3 linked regions of the Sus scrofa genome follow. The protein of the gene in region 1 interacts with the protein of each later gene in a pairwise test. Links are inferred from orthologs where the notes say so. Each region holds a gene or a part of one and is shown in the gene's direction. Other genes may lie near its edges.

Region 1 (7,537 bases):
CTGTAGTCTAAAAACTATGACACTGACTAAAGGAAGTGAGATGATACAAACAGATGGAAAGATATACAGTGTTTTGGAGTGGAAGAATCAATATTGTCAAAATGAAAATACTACCCAAGACAATTTACAGATGCAATGCAATCCCTATCAAATTACCAAAGACATTTATCACAGAACTAGAACAAAATATTTTAAGATTTGTTTAGAAACGTAAAAGACCCTGAATAGCCAAAGGAATCCTGAGAAAGAAAAATGGAGCTGGAGGAATCACCTTCTTGATGTCTCACTATACTACAAAGCTAACAGTCATTAAAAACAGTACGGCATTGGCTCAAAAACAGAAATCTAGATCAATGGAACAGGATAGAAAGCCCAGAAATAAACCCAAGCACCTATGGTCAACTATTCTATGACAAAGGAGGCAAGAATATACAATGGAGAAAAGACAGTCTCTTCAATAAGGTGTGCTGGGAAAACTGGATAGCTGCATGCAAAAGAATGAAATTAGAACACTCTCTAACAGCATACACAAAAATAAACTCAAAATGGATTAAAGATCCACCTTTCCAAGGGGAGGAGGGATTTTTGTCCTTATTTAGCCTTGATGGGAAGTATCATGGCATTGGTGCATAATGGGTGCTTTTTTTCTTTTTGTTTTTTTGTTTTTTTGCTATTTCTTGGGCCGCTCCCTCGGCATATGGAGGTTCCCAGGTTAGGGGTCCAATCTGAGCTGTAGCCACTGGCCTACACCAGAGCCACAGTAATGCAGGATCTGAGCTGTGTCTGCGACCTATACCACAGCCCATGGCAACGCCGGATCGTTAACCTACTGAGCAATGGCAGGGACCGAACCTGCAACCTCATGGTTCCTAGTCGGATTCGTTAACCACTGAGCCACGACAGGAACTCCGGTACTTCTTAACTGCAAGTCTAATTTTATTGTAAAGAGGACATGATGAGCATCAGGTTATATTCAGAAGCTGGACATTCTATGTTTCATTCCCTCCAGGACACTTATCACCCAAAAATGTGTGGTTTTGTGTCAGTCTGGAGGTTCTTGCTTTTCTTTGTCTGCCCTTGAACCCTTGCTATTTACAAGACATGTGTTCTTGCCACCCGGCCTGTGCACCTACACCGCCCCCTCCCTTCTCTGCTCATACCAAGCTATCTGCCTGCTATAACATAACCACAAAGAAACCTTGGACTAATCTGAGTGTCACTCTATAACAAAACTGTTCTGGAATCTTCATGATTCTTCTTTAGTTAGTTGTAGTCATGTGATCTATTTCTGGTTTATAAGATTCAAGTGGAAGAAACTGGATTAGACTTCAGGAAAGTCATCATTTTCCTAATAAAAATGGGGAAGGCTTAGGTGGCATACACTTTTTGGCCCTTGTTCTCCTCCCTTATTTCTATGTTTTAATAGGTGAATGCACAGATGTGAAGGAATGGAATACATTCCTTGCAAATATGAAGAACTTAAGTTACAGACTAAATGTTACAAAGCAGAAAAGGAGAAAAACTTTGTTCCTAGACTAGCTATCTTCAGGCTCCTTATTACATTACAACTTGTTTGATTAAACCATGTATTTCTATTAGGTGTGGCCAAATGCAAACTAGTAAAAACAACTTGCTTTACCTTACTTTTCTACATCACCCTCTCTACTTCCCCTCCTGATCCCAACTTTTTTTTTTTCCTGGAGGTTTTATTTGTATTGCTTAATATTTACAAAATATTTTATGCACAATTGATACCTTTATGATGTTGAGTCTTCCTCAAGCACACATTATGCTTCTCTATTTGTTCTATTTTTTTTTGTGCCTTATGTACAGTTTAAAAGTTTTCGTTAGATAATTTTGCTATAATTGCCATTTTTTCATCCTATAATTGATGCAAGGGGTTAACAGATGTTTTTCTGAATCCTAAGAGAATCTGAAAGAGTTGAATGATAGTTAGGTTAATTATGACAAAAATTAGTGAGGTCACAGTGGAGAAAATATTTCAAGGTCAATTCATAAATTAAAATCGCTTTTCTGTAACAAAAATGCAATGAATACATTCTATTTTGTATATCAAACAAATATACACTAAATGCTCAAAGTTAAGATCTTCATGGATTGGGGAAGTAGAAACTCCTGGGAAAGCTTCTTACAAACACAAATGTAGTATTATGAAAACTTAAAAAAAAATATTTACCTCAATCTAGTTTATGTTAACTATTTTAAATGTTTTTTTTAAAGTAACTAGTATATATTCTCCAGCCTTCTTTATCTTTGCGATTATAAATAAGCTCAGTGTTTTATATTCTCAAAGCACTTGATTAATGCTTCAGAATGTCTTATTCTTCACGGAGCTTAAAGTTTTATGTTTGGGAGCAATTGCACGCTGTGATGAAAAAAACGCTTGAATGGATAAGTATAAACAAATGAAGTCAGAAAAACTGTTGCACTTTAAGCACCTATAAATTATGAAGTGCCATGCAAATTCACATCTTTTTCATACATTGTACTTAAAATCCACCAAAAAAAACCACTGGCTCTTCAAAGCAATTTTGCCCTCCTGCTAGCGTGCACTGCCTTTCTGATAATCCTCCCCTTCAGCACATTCCTCCAGCACAGGGGAACTCAGGCAGGAAGGGCACCTTGGTGCAAATCTTCGAGGTGCGTACTTAACCTCTCTGAGTGTCTAATCTACTGCGGTGGTTTTAGGAGGACATAGCTAAGAATGCCATCGGTATGGTACAAAGTGCATAATAAATGTACACTAACAGTAACCCTGATCAGGGCAGTCTCAACAGATGAAAGTGGGCAGGCAACTCCTCAGATTAATCTTCCGTCCTCTCTAAACCTGGAAGTTGGACAAGTCCCTAGAATACTAAGCGACAGTCAGAATTGCGCATGCTCCGTTGGTGGAGCAGCACCCCTCCTTCTGGTCGGAAGTCTAGGTTTGTTTATTAAATTACGACAGTCGTAAACTGAGATTTTTGCGACAGCTTCTTAGCTTAACGACGACAACAACTATGGCGGCTGTCGGTGGTAGTTTTGAAAGTGCCAGGAGCATTGAGGAGCGTAAGGAACAGACCCGGATTGCCAGGGCAGAGGTGTTGCGACAGGTACTGCCGTTTGGGGGCTTTTGGCGCCATTTAGAATCGAGAGCGGAGGCTTTCTGGGAACCAGACCTCTGGCTTTCGTGCCTCCCCAACACTCTCCCTTTCACTCCGCTGTATCTTACCTCCGGTTGTGTGGAGGTAGTTGTCTCCCTTTGGAAATTCCTACAAACTCGAGTATCTTCTGCCTCCTGGGTGCTCCAGAAGCATGTTCCATTTGTTCATGTTTGTTTTTTAAGGAAAACTTGTTTCTTCTGAATTTCCTTATCTTTTAAACCGTTCATTCTTGACATTTTTAACACCTGGTCACCTGATTTGCTCACTTCCCTGGGACTCCACCACTTATAATGACTCTCTCTGAGTATTTTACAGCCTCAGCCCTCGCGCTTGCTGTATCTGAAATGAAACTTTCCGTTTTCAGGAACACATGTAAGGCATATTAGTGTGAAGTGTTTTACCGTTTCACTACCCCCCGCTCTTTTTTTTAACCTGTTTGTCTTGGCTTATTGTAATCCCTTACTGATCTTTACAAGGATTGAGACAAGAGACTTAGAATTCAGCCCCCCGAAAAAGGTTGAGAATCCTTGTATTTCTCATTGAGATGCGTGTAAAGAGTGGAGGAAGTAAACTGTACTACTGTATTATCTGACAAGATGTAAGAAGTGTGGCAATGAAGGGGAGACGTTGTGGTAAAGAACAATGTATGGTGCCATAAGTGAGGGCTTTTGTTTTAAGATGAAAGAGTTTAAAACGAGTTTAAATGCAGATGAGAGGGAGCCGGTAGAGGAGAACAAGGAGGAGAAGTATAATGACTACAGTAAAATTTTACAGAGGAAGAGAGGGCAGAAAGTCTTGGACAGGTGAAAGGTTCGTGTAGTTCCTTTGTTTCAGTAAGTGTAATATATGTGTGTAATAAATATCCTTCATCCTTGTCTCTGATGTTTCAGGCAGTTGTTGGAGGGAGTAGAGTTTGTAAGCTGTGATAAATTTTATGGTAGAGCTATGCACTGAGGGAGAAGAACCAAACCCAGCTTTGAAATTTGGGGAGAGAATGAAAAGGCAGCAACAGCCTCCTAGGAAGATCTTTATTTGACTGTTGTTGAAAAGATGAATAAAAATTAGCATTATGTGGGGTTCCTGCTGTGGCTCAGCAGTAAGGAACCCAACTGGTATCCATGAGGGCTCTGGTTCGATCCCTGGCTTCACTCAGTGGGTTAAGGATTCTGTGTTGCTCTGAGCTGTGGTGAGGTCACAGATGCAGCACAAATCCTGAGTTGCTGTGGCTATGATGTGGGCCAGCAGCTACAGCTTCATTCAACCTGTAGCCTGGGAACTTCCATATGCCACTGTGTGGCCCTAAAAAAAAAAAAAAAAAAAGAGAGAGAGAGAGAGACAAATTATTAGGATTATGATCATTTGTTTTCAGAAAGGAGATTCTTCTTGAAGCATTTTCGGTGTATGAGTATGTTCCCAAAGGTTAGTTTCTTGTCACAGAAAGAGTTCAGAAATGAGACAAATTAAGAATGAAAAGTGAGGATTTACTTCAGTGAGAAATACAGCTCTTAAGGAGAGGCTGCAGAGAGGTGACCAGCTGCCCCATGTTTTTTTTGGCACACCGGTTATATGGGGACTCCAATTGTATGGCTGGAGTTTGGGGTGTCGTATTCCTTAATTTTCATCCCACTTTCACCTTCCCGAAGGGAGGAGGGATTTTTGTCGTTATTGAAAGTGTCATGGCATCAGTGTATGATGGATACTTCTTATCCATATAGCTAATTTTATTATAATATAACGAGGAACAGATTATATTTGGACATTGGAGAGTTGCATCTTTTCCCACCTGTCTTTGTCAGCCTCCAGGGCACTTATCACCCCAAAAGGTGTAGTTTCCTATCAGTCTGGAGGTTGGAAGTTCCCAAGCTAGGGGTGAAATCATAGCTGCAGCTGTAGGCCTATGCCACAGCCACAGCAACCCAGGATCTTAGCAGTGTCTGCAACCTACACTGCAGCTCATGGCGATGCTAAATCCTTAACCCACTGAGTGAGGCCAGGGATGGAACCTGCATCCTCATGGATACTAGTTGGGTTCTTAACCTGCTGAGCCACAATGGGAACGCTGTTATGGCTTTTCTTTTTCTTTCTTTTTTTTTTTTTTTTGCATGTGTTTTTTTAGGGCTACGCTTATGGCATATGGAGGTTCCTAGGCTAGGGGTCAGATCGGAACTGTAGCCCCTGACCTATGCCAGAGCCACAGCAACACAGGATTTGAGCCTCATCTGTGACCTACACCACAGCTCACGGCAACGCCAGATCCTTAACCCACTGAACAAAGCCAGGGATCAAACCTTCATCCTCATGAATGCTATTTGGGTTTGTTAACTAACTGCTGAGCCATGACAGGAACTCCCCCACTTTTCTTTGCCCACCCATGGATCCTGCTGTTAGCATGATACATGATTTCCTGCTGTTTGGCCCCATTTCCCCCTTCTCTGCTCATGCCTAACTATCTGCCTGCTATAACAGGTATGGATATTGCAGTTTGACAGTGTCCTAACAGTTACAAAAGTATCAGGCATTATCAGTGGGATAGTGAAGGGAAAAGAGATTCAAGTCACATTTGAGGTAGGGAGCTTAGGGAGAGGGAAGGGTCTGCAATAGATCCCAGGAGTCTGTCCTTGACTGGTAGCTCATTATACTAGAGGTTGATAATTGGTAATGCAATTGGTAATGTGGGAGGAGATTTTTTTTTTTTTTTTTTTTTTTTTTTTTTTTTTTTTTGTCTTTTTGCCATTTCTTGGGCTGCTCCCGAGGCATATGGAGGTTCCCTGGCTAGGGGTCCAATCAGAGCTGTTGCTGCTGGCCTACACCACAGCTCACGGCAATGCCGGATCCTTAACCCACTGAGCAAGTGCAGGGACCGAACCCGCAACCTCATGGTTCCTAGTCGGATTCGTTAACCACTGCGCCACAATGGGAACTCCCTTTTTTTTTTTTTAATCTCTCTTACACTTTTGTAGAAGCAAATTCTTGGCAAGAAGGAGTTCATTCAAGAATGTTTTATGAAAGTGGAAGTTTCTGTTTCTGTTTGTGAAAAGAATGCAGATCAATTTTTCTTTTTTCACTGTTTTAGGCTAAAGCCAATTTTGAAAAAGAAGAAAGGCGTAAAGAACTTAAACGACTTCGGGGTGAGGAGACATGGATGCTACCTGATGTGAATGAGCGAGTTGAACAGATCTCACAGGTGAATACTAACAGGCTTACTTGATGTAAGCATATATGTCTCTTTTTTTAGGTACTTATTCAAGTTAATATTGGAGGATTAACTTTGTAGACTGTTTTTACAAGTACAGAATGAATATCACATAGTTGGCATTACCAAATATGGAAGAAGTAGTATGTTTTAATATTTTGGACATTATGACATTGGAAAGATTTTGTTATCTGAGTTGGCTGAAGGCTTAGCTTCAGAATAGACGGTCAATGAGGACCTGCTTTATAGCACAGGAAAATCTGCCTAATATTCTGTAATAACTTATACGGGAAAAGAATTTGAGAAAAAAATGGATACGTGTATATGTATAACCAGATCACTTTGTTGTACAGCAGAAATTTTCACACATTGTAAATCAACTATAATTCAGTAAAACTTGAAAGCTTAAATTCAAATTTCTGGTCCACTTGTAGCACGCTTATGGATCTAAAAATTTACGTGTTTTAAGCTTAATGTCATACTTTTATTTATTTATTTATTTATTTATTTATTTATTTATTTTAAGGGGGGGGTCCTTAATCCTTGTTTTCCCTTCTCACAATTTATGCTGTCTCTCTTGTTATATTTTATGGGGCTAATACTCTTCTGTTAATCCTTTTGGGGCCATTGAAGAGGATACACACACACACACACACGCACACACACATGTATATTTGTGTATATATGTGTTTACTTGATATCTGTCTATCAGTGTATCTACAAAGAAAACTAAAACTTCTCTCATTTTTCTAAGAAATCTTAGCTGTATGATTTTTAGTGCATATGTTATAGAAGCATGTTAAAGTTTCTTAGAAGATTTTGTTTATTTAGTCATAGTCCTCATCTCCTTTCATGAAAGATTTAAAGTTTTTTGGAACATAGATCTATCCCCAAGAGATTGGACATAGTTCCCTGTGCTGTACAGTAGGACCTCATTGCTCATCCATTCTAAATGTAATAGTTTGCATCTGCTAACCCCAAACTCCTTGTTCATCCCACTCCCTCCTCCTTCCCCCTTGGCAACCACAAGACTATTTTTTATATCTGTGAGTCTGTTTCTGTTTTGCAGATAGGCTCATTTGTGCCATATTTTAGATTCCACATGTAAGTGATATCATACAGTGTTTGTCTTTCTCTTTCTGACTGTATTTTGTATGAGAATCTTTAGTTACATCCATGT
Region 2 (7,648 bases), on another chromosome or scaffold:
AAAGGTAGAAGTTAGGATTATTTGTCTTTTGGGAGGTGAAGCATCTCTGGTAAAATTACTAAATTGAAGAGCAATACTCCTTAGACTACAATTCTAATATGTTAATGAAAGAGTAAAAAAGGATGATCATTAATTTATATTCATATTTTTCTGTTACCAGAGAGGATTTCAGACTTTTCCCTCTAGCAACTGGGTATGAATTAATTTACCAAAATTGTAGACATTTTAGAAGGCCAAGGAGTCAGACTTGTGAGACTCGCTGGAAACTTTAAGAAGGCAGGATGACAGAACATTGTAAATCAACTATACTTTAATAAAAAACACTTTCAGGGAGTTTCCATCGTGGCGCAGCACAAACGAATCCGACTGGGAACCATGAGGTTGTGGGTTCGATCCCTGCCTCGCTCAGTGGGCTAAGGATCCGGCACTGCTGTGAGCTGTGGTGTAGGTCAGTCACAGATGTGGCTCGGATCCTGCGTTGCTGTGGCTGTGGTGTAGACCGACAGCTGTAGCTCCGATTAGACCCCTAGTCTGAGAACCTCCATATCTCTCGGGTGTGCCCTTAAAAAGCAAAAAATAAAATAAAAATAAAAAAACATTTCCAAAATTAAAAAAAAAAAAAAAAAGCATGGAGACATGGAAAACAATGGTCTCCACTTGAACAGTTCTGCCCAGGTTCAGCCTCCTCTGGAGTAAAATCTGTGTCAATTACCCTTTTCAAAGCTGCTCCAGCCTGGAAACAGCATCATCAACTCAGTCACTTCAGAGGGTCCACCAGATACCAGACCAGGAAAGACCCCAGGCTGAAGATGAAACCAGCAACTATAGTCGAAATGCGTACCAAGAGCCATGAGGCTACTGAAGGATGGAAGAAATTAATTCTTCCTGGCGGAGGTGCAGGAAGGCGAGGGACCAGGCAGGTGACATTTGAGCCAAATCTTGCTGTATTTGGCCTGGTGAAAACTTGTTGGGGGGTAGGGGTGGGTGCGGTGAGCAGTGCAATCTGCTAGATGAAAATCTACTCCTGCCTAGGAATGACAATCCTTCTGGTTAGCAATATCCGCACTCCTCTTCCACCCACTTTCTTCACAATCTTTTCCTCTGTTTTTGGAAAATTGAGACCCAGGATATTGTTTCTCTTCCTGAAAGAGATCAGTATAGACAATAAACTAACCCTTGATTAAATGAGATCAATAGCTCAGCTCTGTGTGCCCCTGAGAACAATGAGGTAACGGGATGGGGGGGTGGGAGAGTGAAGCAGGTGAGTGGGTAGTGAAGTGGCTTGAGCCACACTGGGGAAAATGGGGCCCAGGGAGAAAAGAGAAGAAATTAAGATTTTTGTATTTGCCCCCACCCCTTTTTTGTCAACCTCCCCCCACCTGTCTCTTATCTTTATTGTTTTTCTGTAGTTTTTCATAGTCCCAGTCTCTTTGTGTCTCTGTCTCCATTTGCTAAAGGCTGGAAATTCCTTGTTCTCAACGGAAGGGAGTAGGAGGGGAGTTGGAGGTGGTAGGAGTGGGAGGTAAGAGAAGAACAGACATCTCAGCAGCTCCGGCTGCGGGGGCGTCTGGGCCTCTGGCGGGGCTTGACAAGTCAATGATTTTTTAAATGTGCATATTTTTAAATCCACACAGAGGGGCTCACAAACCTAGAGAGAGACAGAGACACAGACACACAAGTCGATGTAAAGAAGCATATAAATACATAATCTCAGGGTACAGAGGCACCAACTGGCACTAGCGTCTTAAATTTGCTTATTAGCATTTCACAATTCACAGAGTTTTCATATACACCCTCTCATTTGACCCTCACGACACCCGAGAAACAAAGATATAAACACCCCGGAGTTTCAATCTCAAACACAAGTTCGCACTCAGAAATTATCCCTTCTGATCCCTAGGGGAGTTGGCTGAGCCAGTGCAAAGGATTTTTCTCCCCCAATTTTTCTCTCTGGCCTAGTACCCGCCCCAGGACCGTGGAGCCCAGGCCCCAGAATAGGCTCCTCCCTCATCTCCTTTCCAGGGCCGGGACTCTAGCGCCCGGCGCCCACTTGGTCACCGCCCCCTTGATTCACGCCCTATTCAGCCGTCTTCCCCGGGCCAGCCAGCGTCTCCCTTCGGATCCGGGGGCTCAGCACCGCCCCTAGGGGGCCCGGGTGGGAGGGAGGGGGGCGCCTGGAGCAGAGACTGTGTGGGCGGAGGATGTGCGTCACGGGGAGCGTGGGCAGAGGGAGGGAGGAGGCACGTGGAAACCCCGGGCCAGCCGCTGGCGCCCAGGTTCTAAAATAACCGGGAGAGAGTGGGGGAGGGGCGCCCACACATTTAAGAGGGGTCGAGGAGTGTCTCCGCCGGGAGCCGGTGTAGGCGCGCCCTCCAGTTGTAGAACCGAGGACTCGGTTCGCTCCCGATCACCCTCCAACCCCATTTTGGGGGCTTCATGGAACGGACAAGAGAATCTTGGCTACTGAAATTCCCCCCAGTGGTGCACCTCTCTTCTCCTGTCCCACCCGGAGACGGGAGGGTCCCCTCGCCAGGCCGGAATGTAGAACCAGCCCTGGCCCACGCTACCCACTCCTTGCTGGCCCGGGCCACTCAGAAGTGCTGAATGATGGGTGGGGCTGAGATTTTGGATTAGGGGGAATTTTGCCGCCCCTCCTCCTTCATTTCCTCGGGGCGTAGAGCCGCTGGGCCGGGCTCTAAGAGACCCCGCCAGTCGGCCCTCTCAGCCGTGGGCGGGAGTGTAATGGGAACCAGATGGGGCTGGGAAAAAGAAAGGGGAGGGATGGTGGGTGGCAGAGAGGGGCAAAGCTCCTTGAAGGAGCTCCTCCCTCCTACTCCTCGGTAGGGAGCCACGTCGGTAGGGAGCCACGTCCGACGCGCCCGGCCTCCGCCGGTCTCCCACTTGACTCCGGCGAAATACCTTCACAGACGTCCCTAGAAGGGGTATCCTCCTCCCAAAGTTGCCACACAGAATTCCCCAGAGGTAGGTCCCCATTCTCAGCAAATAGGATGCTACTAGCGGAAGAAGGCAGGATACCCCTCCCATCCTTGCCTGACCTAAGCACTAACAACCCAGCGCGACTAATAGACGCGCGTCTAAGCAGCAGGTTATGGCAAACCCCGCCCATTTCTGTTCCCCGAACTTCGACGTGGTTTGGGAAGAGTGCGAGGATCTGTGAGGGATTCCTGCAGAGCTCCACGTTCACAGATCTGTCCTAAGTGCACACTCTACGGGAGTCAGAAGCACCCACGAGAGGAGCCGCGCACCCCAGTCTCCCAACTTTTCCTGGCTCACTCCTAACATTCACACGTATAGCACCGCGAAGCCCGAGTGTGGGCAGCAGGCGACCGGGTAGTTGTTTAGGCGCGTGTGCCCGTCGGTGTGCTTCTCTGTGTCTTTGTGTACCTGTGCGTGGTTGTGAAACTCCGCTCTCTGCTCAGAGGGGAAGGAGGAGTGGGAGTAAGAATGTCGCCGGCTGGGCGCTCACGTGGGTACGTGGGCGCGAAGAAGGCCGGCTGTGCATCCGGCGTAGGCGGCTCCGAGCGACCTCGCCCCGCCCGCTGAGTCCCCAAGCCCGCCTTCCACAGCCCGGCCTCGGTCACTTTAGTCCCCAACTCGGCGCCCTGGCGCCGAGTCCCCGCCCCCGCCTCCTGCTCCACACCCCCCTCCCCACATTCTCCGCCTCTCTCCGCCTCTCTGCTGAGGCTTCTCCACCGCCGGCCGAGAGGCCCGGGCGCCCGCCCCCCGCCCACAAGCCTCCGCCCCCGGCTCGGCCCACGCCCTCCGCCCGCCTGGCAGCCAGTGCTGCGCCGGGCCTCGCTCCCCGTGCGTCCTGCGGGGGCGGAGGCGCGGAGAGGCGGCAAGCGCAGCCGGGGAGGGGGGGGGTAGAGGCACAGACAGAGGCGCGGAGGCTCGGAGAGAGGAGACGTGGAGGAAGGGACGGAGCCCGGACAGCGGCGGACACGGCCTCGCGCGCCAGGAAGATCGCAGCACACAGAAGGCGCCGAGCGCCGGACACTGAGAGGGGCATCCCCGGTGGTCTCCAGCCGTCCATGCACAGAGCTCCCTCCCCCACTGCCGAGCAGCCGCCGGGCGGAGGGGACAGCGCCCGCCGGACCCCTCAGCCCAGACTCAAGTAAGTGGGCAAAGGGAAGCGGCGGGGAGTGGAAATGGGTGGAGCTGGACTCGGGGAAAGGGGTCCGGAGGGCGGAGGTCGAGGAGAGGACTAGGGGAAGAGGGACGGGGGTGGGGGGTGGAGACTGATGGAAAGGGGGTGCGCCTTCGAATTAGGGGGCCATGGGAGCAGGCAGGGATCTGATGAAGCTGGATGTGAAGGAATAGTATCTAATTCTCCATTCCTCGTTTACTCTGTGAGCATGACCTGGCCTGTGAGCCCCTGCAAAGAATGTGGGGGCTCCTAAGTGCCAGGGGAAGCCCTGGAGTTCTAGCTGGCAACAGTGCTGGGGAAGAGCCGCTCAGCTGGCACAATCTGTGGTTGGCATGGAGCGCGCCGCTTTGGGGTCGGGAGAAGTCGGCGCCTTTGAACCAAGAGCGCATCAGAGCGGCTCTGCAGGAGCAGGACGTGCCTTAGGCGTCTATTTCCATTTCCGTACCTTTATTTACAGAGTGGGGAGGGGAGTTTCGGTGTGCAGCCCCTCCCTCAAGAGGCCTTGAGTCGCTCCCCCACTCCACTTGAAGATGTGGATGGAAAAAGGGAGAGAGGGGTAGGCGGGAGCCCCCCGGCGGTTTTCGCCCACGGACGCTACCACCGTGGGAGTGTGTGTGGGCGGAACGGGCCGCAAAGCAGAACAATTGAGGCACTTCTCCCCTCCCCTGTGCCTGAGCTGAAGGGATGGGCCTACCTCTGGAGCAGGTGGGAAGGTCACTGCTGGGAGAGGGACCAACCGAGGGCCACTGGGCAGTCTGGAAGAGGGGGGAGGTTCTGGGGAGAGACAGCAGGAAAATGCCTAATCCTTGGGGAAGGCTTAGCAGAGGTGGGAAAAGGTAGCAGAGTAGGGGTCTGCTTGGCTCCTTGAGCTGAAAAGGGCAGGGAAGCCACACCCTCTGCCTCAGCCACATGAGCATAATGCCACCAGAGAATAAAGCTGCCCAGGTGTCCATTGTAGGGAGGTGGGGGCTCATACATTCACCTCAGTGTGGGAAGCTAACTTGTGTAATGTTGAGATTGCTGGGTGTTTGGGGGGAAGACGAGGACTGTGTTCTGGAGGAGAGGGTGGTCCAGCCATCACCGGGGTGTGCTGGCTGGCTTCAGCGCGCAAGGTCTCCTTGTGCCAGGCCAGAAAAGTAAAAGTTGAGGATGGGGGAACAGAGCCTTTGACTTCCACAAAGACCAGTATGGTTTTTAGTACTTCTGGCCAGTTTGGGATGGCATTAGCATGGCTGTGACTCTGAGCAGTGGTTGGTTCTTGTGGTTTGGGCTCCGACCTAGGCACTGGGCAGAGAGAGCATTCGGAAGAGGGGTGGGAAAGAGAAAACAACCGTGAACGTGTGTTCGTACCCAGCAAGGAGGACTTGCACTGACCGCCATCCCCTCTCTGTCCTGTGCCTCCTTCTCAGGCCCAGTGCCCGAGCCATGGCCCTGCCTCGGACACTGGGGGAGCTGCAGCTGTACCGGGTCCTGCAGCGCGCCAATCTCCTTTCCTACTATGAGACCTTCATCCAGCAGGGAGGGGACGACGTGCAGCAACTGTGTGAGGCGGGTGAGGAGGAGTTCCTGGAGATCATGGCACTCGTGGGCATGGCCACCAAGCCTCTCCATGTCCGACGCCTACAGAAGGCACTAAGAGAGTGGGCCACCAATCCAGGGCTCTTCAGCCAGCCAGTGCCCGCCGTGCCCGTCTCCAGCATTCCGCTCTTCAAGATCTCTGAGACTTCGGGGTCCCGGAAGGGGAGCATGAGCAACGGGCATGGCAGTCCTGGGGAAAAGGCGGGCAGTGCCCGCAGTTTTAGCCCTAAGAGCCCCCTTGAACTTGGAGAGAAGCTGTCACCATTGCCCGGGGGACCTGGGGCAGGGGACCCCCGGATCTGGCCAGGCCGGAGTACTCCAGAGTCCGATGTTGGGGCAGGAGGAGAAGACGAGTCTGGCTCACCCCCGTTCTCCCCACCTGCAGGGGGAGGAGTCCCCGAGGGGACTGGGGCTGGGGGGCTGGCAGCAGCTGGGGCTGGGGGCGGTCCGGATCGGCTGGAGCCAGAGATGGTACGCATGGTGGTGGAGAGCGTGGAGAGAATCTTCCGAAGCTTCCCGAGGGGGGATGCTGGGGAGGTAACGTCCCTGCTGAAGCTGAACAAGAAGCTGGCACGGAGCGTGGGGCACATCTTTGAGATGGACGATAACGACAGCCAGAAGGAAGAGGAGATCCGCAAATACAGCATCATTTATGGCCGCTTTGACTCCAAGCGGCGGGAGGGCAAGCAGCTCAGCCTACATGAGGTAAGGATCCCAGCCTCCCAGGAGTGCTCTTGACTCCCAGGCCTTGACCCACTCATCTCTGAGAATGATCACTTCCCCAAGTCTGTTTCATTGACCTTGACCAGGACCCCAGGCCCTGATCCCTTCCCCAGCCAACCCCAGCTGCTGCAGTGCTTCCCTCCTCAACTGAGGCGGAAGCAGAGACACAAGCAAAGCCCAGCTGTCCTCCATGCTGCTCAGAACCCCACAGGAGTGGAGGAGGCCCTGGGCATTCCTGGGTGCTGACCTCTGTCTTCCTCCCTCAGAAAGCTCCTGCGTAGTGTCAGAACCCGAGCAAGCATCTGATGGCTGGGCCTTGCTTGTCTGATGGTGAAGGGGAGAGAGGAGGTTTGGGCAAGGTGCTGGGTGAGTTAGGATTCTGACTGCGCTGGCGCCCTCTCCACAGCTGACCATCAATGAGGCTGCTGCCCAGTTCTGCATGAGGGACAACACGCTCTTACTGCGGAGGGTGGAGCTCTTCTCCCTGTCCCGCCAGGTGGCCCGAGAGAGTACCTACCTGTCCTCCTTGAAGGGCTCCAGGTGAGACTCCCTTCTCTAGGTCCTTCCTAGATCAGAATCCTTCCAAGGAGCTGGGTCATGTCTTAATCTCTACTTCAGGTGCCTCTTGGACTGCTTCTCCCCCATCTGTGTGTCCTTGACTTTGGCCAAGTCCACTTATCTGAGGTCTGGCCCCTTCTCCCATCCATTGCAGGCCTCCACTGTGCCCCCCCACTGCCCCCCCCCCCCCAACAATGGTGCCTGAGCTGGAGACTTGCTTAGCCAGCATCTTTTCATACTCTGGAAATAATGCGTGTTCTTCCCCCCCCAGATTCTGTGTCTTGTCCACCACTTGTCCTTCCCCAGCCTCACTCTCCTTGTTCCTCTCCATCTTTGAAGGCTTCACCCCGAAGAATTGGGAGGCCCCCCACTGAAGAAACTGAAACAAGAGGTAGGTTTTCCAGGGTGCATATAGGGGGTTAGGGCAGCCTTCCCTGGTCCCCTCCCTTGCCAGGTTTTCATTTCCCCATTTGGGGCCTCTACAGGTTGGTGAGCAAAGTCACTCTGAAATCCAGCAGCCTCCCTCAGGCCCTGAGTCCTATGCACCCCCATACCGCCCCAGCCTGGAGGAAGACAGTGCCAGCCTGTCCGGGGAGAGCCTGGATGGACACTTGCAGGGTG
Region 3 (7,629 bases), on another chromosome or scaffold:
CCTCAGAAGAGGGGCCTGTCAGGAAGATGTAGAGGCCGGCGGGGGCCCCCGGCCGTGCCCCGCAGGGAGGCTGACAGACGCCAGCAGCTGTGTGGGCGCCGGGGTGCCAGGGCCCTGCCTTCCCAGCACAGAGGGGCCCCCTGCGCCCCTCCTGACCTCTCAGCCCCCACCTCCACGACCCAGGGCCCACCCTTCCTGGGGCAAAGGGCCAGGCGCTGGGCCTCCCTAGGATGGGGTCCCTGGCCAGATGCAGAGGCCAGAGCAGGAATCCGGTTACAGCCTGCGGGCCAGGCCCCGGGAAGCTCTCCCCCCTCCCAGCCTCCTATGGATTCCTTCCAGAGCCCCCACAGCCGGGAGCCCCTCAAGGGACCTCCCAAGGCTGTTTCTGTAGAATTTCTCCCGTAACCCCCAGCCCTACAGCCTCCCTTTGGAACCATGGAAGTTAAGGGGAACCAGACCTGCTAGAGAGGAGCCGAGGTTACCCATTACCCACTCCGCACTTCACAGCAATGACTTCATTTATTTGATTGATTGATCGATTGCTTGCTTTTTAGGGCCGAACCCGCAGCACATGGATGTTCCCAGGCTAGGGGTCCAATCGGAGCTGCAGCTGCCAGCTTACGCCGTAACAACAGCAATTCGGGCTCTGAGCCAGGTCTGTGACCTACACCCCAGCTCAATGCAACGCCAGATCCTTAACCCACTGAGTGAGGCCAGGGATCGAACCCGCATCTTCATGGATACTAGTCAGGTTCGTTACTGCTGAACCATGACAGGAATTCCGCAGAACAATTTCACGTAAAATTCCTCGGGTGTTCCCATTGTGGCCCAGCAGGTTAAGGACCTGACATCGGCTCTGTGAGGGTGCGGGTTCAATCCCTGGCCTCCACTTACTTAGTGGCTTAAGGATCCATTGTTGCCAAAAGCTTTAGCATAGGCTGCAGGTGTGGCTTGGATCCGGCATTGCTGCGGCAGTGGTGTAGCTCTGATTCAACCCCTGGCCTGGGAACTTCCATATGTCACAGGTGCAGATGTAAAAAGAAAAAAAAATTCTCCAGTGTCTGTGGCAGCAGGCATTCCAATGCCGTGGGGCCAGGCTGCCTGGGTTTGAATCCTGGAGCCTCCTCCACTTCCCAGCTGTGTGACCTTGTGCAGGTTACACCATCTCTCTGGGCTTCTGAATCCTCTTCTGAAAGATGCTGAAGGTGAGAAATGCCTCAGAAGGCTTTTGTGGCATCTATTGAAGGACACGTGTGAGGCAGTAGGGTCAGTGGATGAATGGCAGCTATAACTTCCCTGCCAGGGGAGCAAACGGAGGCTCAGAGAGGTGAGGGGACTTGCCCAGGGAAGTGGCAGACCCTGGAATTGAACTCAGACCCGTCTAAACCCCAAAGTCCGTGCTCCTTCTTCTGCATCAAACTGCTCCAGACTGGACAGCCACACCCCTGGGGACAATTCCCGGTTCTGCCATTTTTTATCAGTTTGATTCTGAGCAGCTCACCTCATCTATCTGAGCCTCAGTTTCTTCATTTATAAAATGTAGAGCCTAATTCTTTTTTTTTTTTTTTTGTCTTTTGCCTTTTCTAGGGCCACACCCGTGTCATATAGAGGTTCCCAGGTCAAGGGTCCAATCAGAGCTGTAGCCACTGGCCTACATCAGAGCCACAGCAATGCAGGATCCGAGCCACGTCTGAAACCTACACCACAGCTCACGGCAACGCCAAATCCTTAACCCACTGAGCAAGGCCAGGGATCAAACCGGCAACCTCATGGTTCCCAGTTGGATTCGTTAACCACTGAGCCACAACGGGAACTCCCAAGCCTAATTCTTACTTTCCCGAAAATAGGAGAGTTGCGAAGGTCAGAGGAGAAATTGTGCGACAGGTAAATCCTGGACGAAGCGGGGAGGTGAGTCTGGTTTGTGGCTATGACCACATCTCCTCTACTAGCTGGCAACACCCTGGCTGCCTGTTCTGGAAGACAGGATGCCGAGGTCATGAAGAGCGTTCGTGCAGCCTCCAGGCTGCAGTGCTGAGACCCATGACTCCTCCTTGGGGAACCCTGTGGATCTCTGGAACCAGCCAAGAGGGATAGCACTCTTCTGGTCCATGCCCATTTCGGCCCCAGTCCTGCAGCTCTGGGCTGTGGAATAGTCAGTAAGAGAAGAGCTCTGACCCCATGTGCTTGGAATGTCATCCTCCAAGAATTTTTTTTTTTTTTTGTCTTTTTCTAGGGCTACGCCCATGTCGTATGTGGGTTCCCAGGCTAGGGGTCGAATCGGAGCTGTAGCTGCCGGCCTACGCCAGAGCCACAGCAACGCTAGATCCAAGCTGCATCTTCAACCTACACCGCAGTTCACGGCAACGCCAGATCCTTGACCCACTGAGCGAGGCCAGGGATTGAACCCTCAACCTCATGGCTCATAGTTGAAATCATTAACCACTGAGCCACGATGGGAACTCCCCCTCCAGGAAATTATATTAACCCTCCAGAGAGACCAGCAGGGCCTGGGGATTGAGTGGACTAATTGGACGGTTGAAATGGCCTTGGGGCCTCCAGGGACGGGCACCAGCCTGGAAGACCATGCAACTGTGTGCCGAAGAGAACTCCTTTGGGAATGAGAATCGCCCTGATTGCTATTTCCATGCCCAGGTTCCATGGAAACCCTGGCCTCTGGGGGTTAGGGGAAGCAGGTGGGTGAAGGTTAGGAGGCCAGAGAGCAGGTGGGGGAGGCCTGGAGGAACTTCAAGGAACTTATCTGACAGTCTTTCCCTTGCCATGGAGAAAAATGACTTGAAACCCCTCTAGAGATGAGTGTGGCGAATTGGCATGTAAGTTGGGGGTTAAAGAGCGGAAGGAAGAATCTGATTGTTTTTTTAAGTTACTGGGAAAGTGAGAATGTCACTTTGGGCCGAGAGAAACCCTTTTTTTTTTTTTTCTTCTAGAGTGTGTCTTTCTACTATAGACGGTAGTGGGCCGCTGAGACTTGCAAAAAAAGCTTTCTTTTAATCCACCTTCCTTTTGCCAAGCAGCAGTAGAAGGGCCTTTAAATCAAATGCAATCAGCAAACTTGTCTCTTGCACTTATTCCCAGCTTCACTCCCTGGAATTTGGCACTTGATGGATGCTGGATCTGACTTAAGGCTTTTTCCAAATCCGAGACTTGGGGAATTTTGTTAACAGTGCAATAAAATAACTTCATAGTGTTATAGGAGGCACATTAAAGAAATTGTGTGTGTGCTGCTCTCTCTCCTTAAAAAAAAAAAAAAAAATACAGACAATGTTTCTTTAAAAGACTCCATCTGCAAATCCCATTAGATGTGCATATAAGGTTTCTGATGATTAATAGTTGCCTGCTCGGGTTTTGGTTGGAGGGGATGGTGTGTGTGCTGGTTAACCCCTCCCTCTCCTCTCTCACATTTCACTTCAGAAATTTGTCACTCTCTCCCCACCGCAGGATTTAAAAGTGTGTCTCAGCAGCCCTGGACCAGCTCTCTGCAGGCGTTTGCTGCAGGCTCCAGGACAAGCGCTCTTTAGCTGGTGCGTCTGGGCTGGGACAGTGAAAATGTTGAGTGTCATCAGCGACACATACACGTACAGGGGACCCCAATAGGCAAGCTGGTGCGTCGGGGGGGCCAGGAAGCCAGGAGTGAAGTCTGATAGAGGTGTGTACACACGTGTGTGGAGCCAGCCACCTGTGTGCGGACCGTAAGGAGCGACTTTAGTTTTGGTGTTTGTTTGGGGTCCTGGGTGGAATTTTTCTGTTGAACATTTTTCTCTTCTGTTTAAAAAAAAAAAAAAAAAAAAATTTTTTTTTTTTTTTGCATTTTTAACAAATTGAGTATAAAGTATACCAATCCAGCCTTTGAAAGGACTGAGACGTGGGGCAGACGACAGATGGATCCAGTGGCCAGCAGCTGCATGAGGGGCCCCCACCCCCCAGCCCCGGTCTGGGGCTGCCTTCGAAACCCCCACTCAGAAGGCAGCGGGGCCTCAGGGCTCCCCCACTACCCGCCGACCCCGTTCTCCTTCCACCAGAAACCAGACTTCACAGCGACAGCGACGACAGCGTACCCTGACTTCTCGGCCTCCTGCCTGGCGGCCACCCCGCACAGCCTGCCCCAGGAGGAGCGCCTCTTCACTGAGCAGCACCCCGCCTTCCCACAACCCCCTGACTGGCCCTTCCCTGTCTCGGAGGCCCGGCGGAGGCTCAACCCAGGCCCGGCGGGGGGCTCCAAGGAGATGGGGGCCCGCAGCCCAGGCCTGGTGGACACCACGGGTGGCCCGGGCGAGGACTACGAGGTCCTTGGGAGCAGTGCCAATGAGACGGAGAAGAAGTCAACCAGACGGAAAAAGGAGAGTTCAGGTAGGTGGCTGGGGAACAGCTGACGTTTCCTTTACTGTGTGATCTCGGGGCGGTTGCTTGCCCTCTCTGAGCCTAGGTGCCCTGACCGTAAATTGGGATCTAACCTAATCAGAGGCGGGGACTAGACCAGTTACCTCGGAGTTTCAGGAGTCTCTGGTGATGGGGGCTATGACTATGTCCCCAGCCTTCCTGGGCCCCAGAAAAATGTGCCAGCGAGAGAATGAAACAGGATCCACATCGAGTTGGAGGGCATGTGGGAGGGAGCCTCTGGGTAGAGGCTGGCAAGGGCCGCAGAGGGGCTTTCCTGCATCTGGGCTGCCTCTGGGTCATGCTTCTCCCCACCACACCCCAGCCAGCTCCAAACAGTCCCAGAGCCCCAGGACTTGCTCCCAGGGGCATCAGCTAAAACCGAGACTTGGAAGGTTAAGATCAAGGCTGGGACCCTGGGCAGCCAAGCAGAACCAGAACTCTGTGTGTCCAGGAGGCAGAGGAGCAGGCACAGGGCGGGGATGCAAGAGGCAAGCACTGAGCTTTGGGGCCGACCACCCAGGAGGTACCACCCTACCCAGCAGGCCAGGCCCAGGCCAAAGGGTCAGCTCAGCCTGCTAAGGTCTGGGTGACCCCCAGGGCAGGCTGCCCCTCTGAGGAGCCCTCCAGAGAGAATCAGGGAGGCAGGCAGCAGAGGGCAAGCACTGGATCTTGGCGTGAAGGTAACGCCCAGCTTGGTGCTGGAGCCCCCGAGGCCAGAGGCTGGAGCTGGGCTGCTTGCTAAGATCCCAGCTAAAGTCCATCTCCTCCCCGTGGTGGGGACCTGTTTTTTCCTCATCTCCCAGTGGGACCCCCCCTAGCCCCCCACCACGGGCTTCTCTCACCTCCTGTTCACCTTTGGCCTGGATCCCTCCCCCATCTCACACAGCACAAGACAGTGCCCTGGCCTCCTGCCCCTTCTGCCCCATTGTGTCTTCCTGACAACTGCTTCGGGGTACATCTGACTGTCTGAACCTACAGAGGACCCTTCTTGGGGCTCACCAGGGGCAGGCTGAAAATGAGAGGAGCAGCCAACCAAAGAAAACATGCTCCGCTTTGCTTTACAAAGCGCTTTCAACGTAGCACAGACTTCCCGAGCATCTTCTCTTTGCCAAGAGGCCCTGGGGTTGCAGAGATGAAAAGGCGGTCTCACTCCCACCTCCAAAGAGCGCAAACGGAGAGGGAGGGGAGGTCAGCAGGTGCCTGTCTGGCAGTGGATGTGCTCTGATTCAGGGGGTTCGAGGTGCTGCAGGAAACATACCATAGCTCTTTTGAGTCCCACAGGTTTTCGAGTTTGATACAGCAGGTCTTATCAGTGACTTGATTCTTTAGGCGTGGAAAAGGAGAAACTTAAAAGTTTGAGGGGAGCACTGCTAGCAAGGAGTCAAAACAGAACGACCCATTCATCTCAAGGAAGCCAGGACTTTTCCAGTTTTAGCATTGAAAGTTCAGCACCCCAGGGACAGTTAGTCACCCAAGAAGAAAACTCAAACCCCAGACTTCAGACCCCAAACCCACCCCCTTCGGTAGATTTCAAGCACAATTCTTCATTTTGAAATATTGGGTCTCCAGGCTTGAAGAAGCCTCTCGGTGTGCTTGCAATGAATGATAAAAACCACAGCCCTCCAGGCTGCTCAGTAGACGGGCCCTTTAAGTCCCCAGTCGGCTAAATCCTGACCTATTCCTAGGCTTGGCTGGAGATGTGCCGAGAACGGGGCATTTCTGCTTCTCCTCTCCAAGAAGCTCTCAGCCACTTGGCTCTGCACCTCGTTGAAGAGCCCTCCCCTCTGTGGCGCCTGCCACCGTAGCTCCTCCATCTCTGCCCACATCCACCTTGGCTGCATCCAGGGACCTGGGAGCCAAGGGCACTGGGAAGACTCGGGCAAAGCCAAGGGCTGGATGTAGGCAAGATCATTCCGTGTTTTGGCGAGACCCAAATGTACCGTCTCTCCTTTCGGCGAGTGGCCCATGGATGGCGCTGCTCATGTGCTAAGCAGCTGGCCACCCCAGGGCACAAAGACACCTTCCTCAGAGGGTCTGTCTTTGGTCGGGGGAGGTTCCCAGCCAGGAGGGGCCCTGGGTTCTCCCTCCAAGTCCCCTCAGAAGCAGCAGAGGAGCAGCAGTCACAAAGCAGGGCACAGCAAGTTGACTCTCATTCATTCTCGGGGGGTGGGGGGGGCGCTCCAGACCCGCTCAGGTCAGCATGGAAATCCTCATTGCCCGTGACTTGCATCTTCCTTTGCAATTTAACCGAACGGGAAGGAGGCAAGAAAGATCAGCTTTGAAAGCGCCTGAAGAAAAGGGAAACCAATGAGCAGGGCTCACAACCAACTGCAGGAATCTGGAATTCAGTTCACGAGACACAAACCCACAAAGACTCCCCCACCCCCACCCCACCCTTCCAATCCTGAGCCATTGGCTGGATTCTCTATTCGAAATTTTGACAGTCTGTTCATGGTGGACTTTGGGTATTAATTTTGATTTTTTTTTAAATTTACATTAAAATATTCTTTCTCTTGATTATGTGAGTGCCTCTCGCGCCTCACCCTGGCCCCTGCTAACTATCTCTGGAAGGCTAACCAGCAGTGAGCAGAAACGTTTTTTCCATGGTGCTTCATAGTCAGGCAGCCAAGCTGCAGGATCAGCACGGTCCCTTTGACTGCATGACTTTGGGGAAGCTCTTAACTTCTCGGAGCCCCTGTTTCCCCAGCTGTAAAATGGGACTCTAACGATATCACTTTCCCCATGGAGTCACTGCGAAGGTCAAATGCTGTGATTCCTAAGATTAACCCTGTGCCTGGCATGTGAGTTCCATAAACTGAGTGGTATGAGGTCCATATGTGCAGAACAAGTCAACACTGAATCTGACAGATAGCCCTGTGTTTATGGGGATGGTGCAATTGAATATTTCAAATATGTTGTCTCAGAATTTCCTGAGTCTGGGACGTAAGATGGGGGAACTTCTTGCCATCATTATTGTCCTGAAATCCAGTGGCCACCAGTTAGGAGCCTGGAGCTCAGCGATCTGCTGGAGCGGTTGGGGTGAGGGGGTGAGTTGTGCCAGGTAAATTCATCCCACACCGGCTGACCTGGCCAAGGAGGGTGCATAACGGAGAGGTGTCTCAAGAGGAACGTTCTCTGCTCTCCCCTGTCCTTTGTCTGACAGTCCCCACTGTCCCCCGTCATTGCCTGGCAGTGGAAGTAAAGCCGATTTGCTCAGGAAAGTGGGGCTCCCTG

The links.
Region 2: the proteins of CWF19L2 (region 1) and NAB2 interact in binary tests that used the Homo sapiens proteins (3 or more experiments, as listed by UniProt). The two-hybrid records come from large-scale screens. The link is inferred for Sus scrofa from reciprocal best matches to the Homo sapiens genes CWF19L2 and NAB2.
Region 3: the proteins of CWF19L2 (region 1) and MEOX1 interact in binary tests that used the Homo sapiens proteins (3 or more experiments, as listed by UniProt). The two-hybrid records come from large-scale screens. The link is inferred for Sus scrofa from reciprocal best matches to the Homo sapiens genes CWF19L2 and MEOX1.

What each region holds. Positions count from the first base shown.
Region 1 is NC_010451.4:36,055,200-36,062,736, reverse strand, and holds the start of CWF19L2 (CWF19-like protein 2), read left to right. Parts: upstream 1-3,019; 5' UTR 3,020-3,020; coding exon 3,021-3,113; intron 3,114-6,237; coding exon 6,238-6,348; intron 6,349-7,537.
Region 2 is NC_010447.5:22,396,496-22,404,143, forward strand, and holds the start of NAB2 (NGFI-A-binding protein 2), read left to right. Parts: upstream 1-3,779; 5' UTR 3,780-4,052; coding exon 4,053-4,135; intron 4,136-5,577; coding exon 5,578-6,451; intron 6,452-6,875; coding exon 6,876-7,009; intron 7,010-7,366; coding exon 7,367-7,418; intron 7,419-7,512; coding exon 7,513-7,645; intron 7,646-7,648. UniProt on the Homo sapiens protein: Acts as a transcriptional repressor for zinc finger transcription factors EGR1 and EGR2. Isoform 2 lacks repression ability.
Region 3 is NC_010454.4:19,427,971-19,435,599, forward strand, and holds the start of MEOX1 (homeobox protein MOX-1), read left to right. Parts: upstream 1-3,432; 5' UTR 3,433-3,896; coding exon 3,897-4,365; intron 4,366-7,629. UniProt on the Homo sapiens protein: Mesodermal transcription factor that plays a key role in somitogenesis and is specifically required for sclerotome development. Required for maintenance of the sclerotome polarity and formation of the cranio-cervical joints.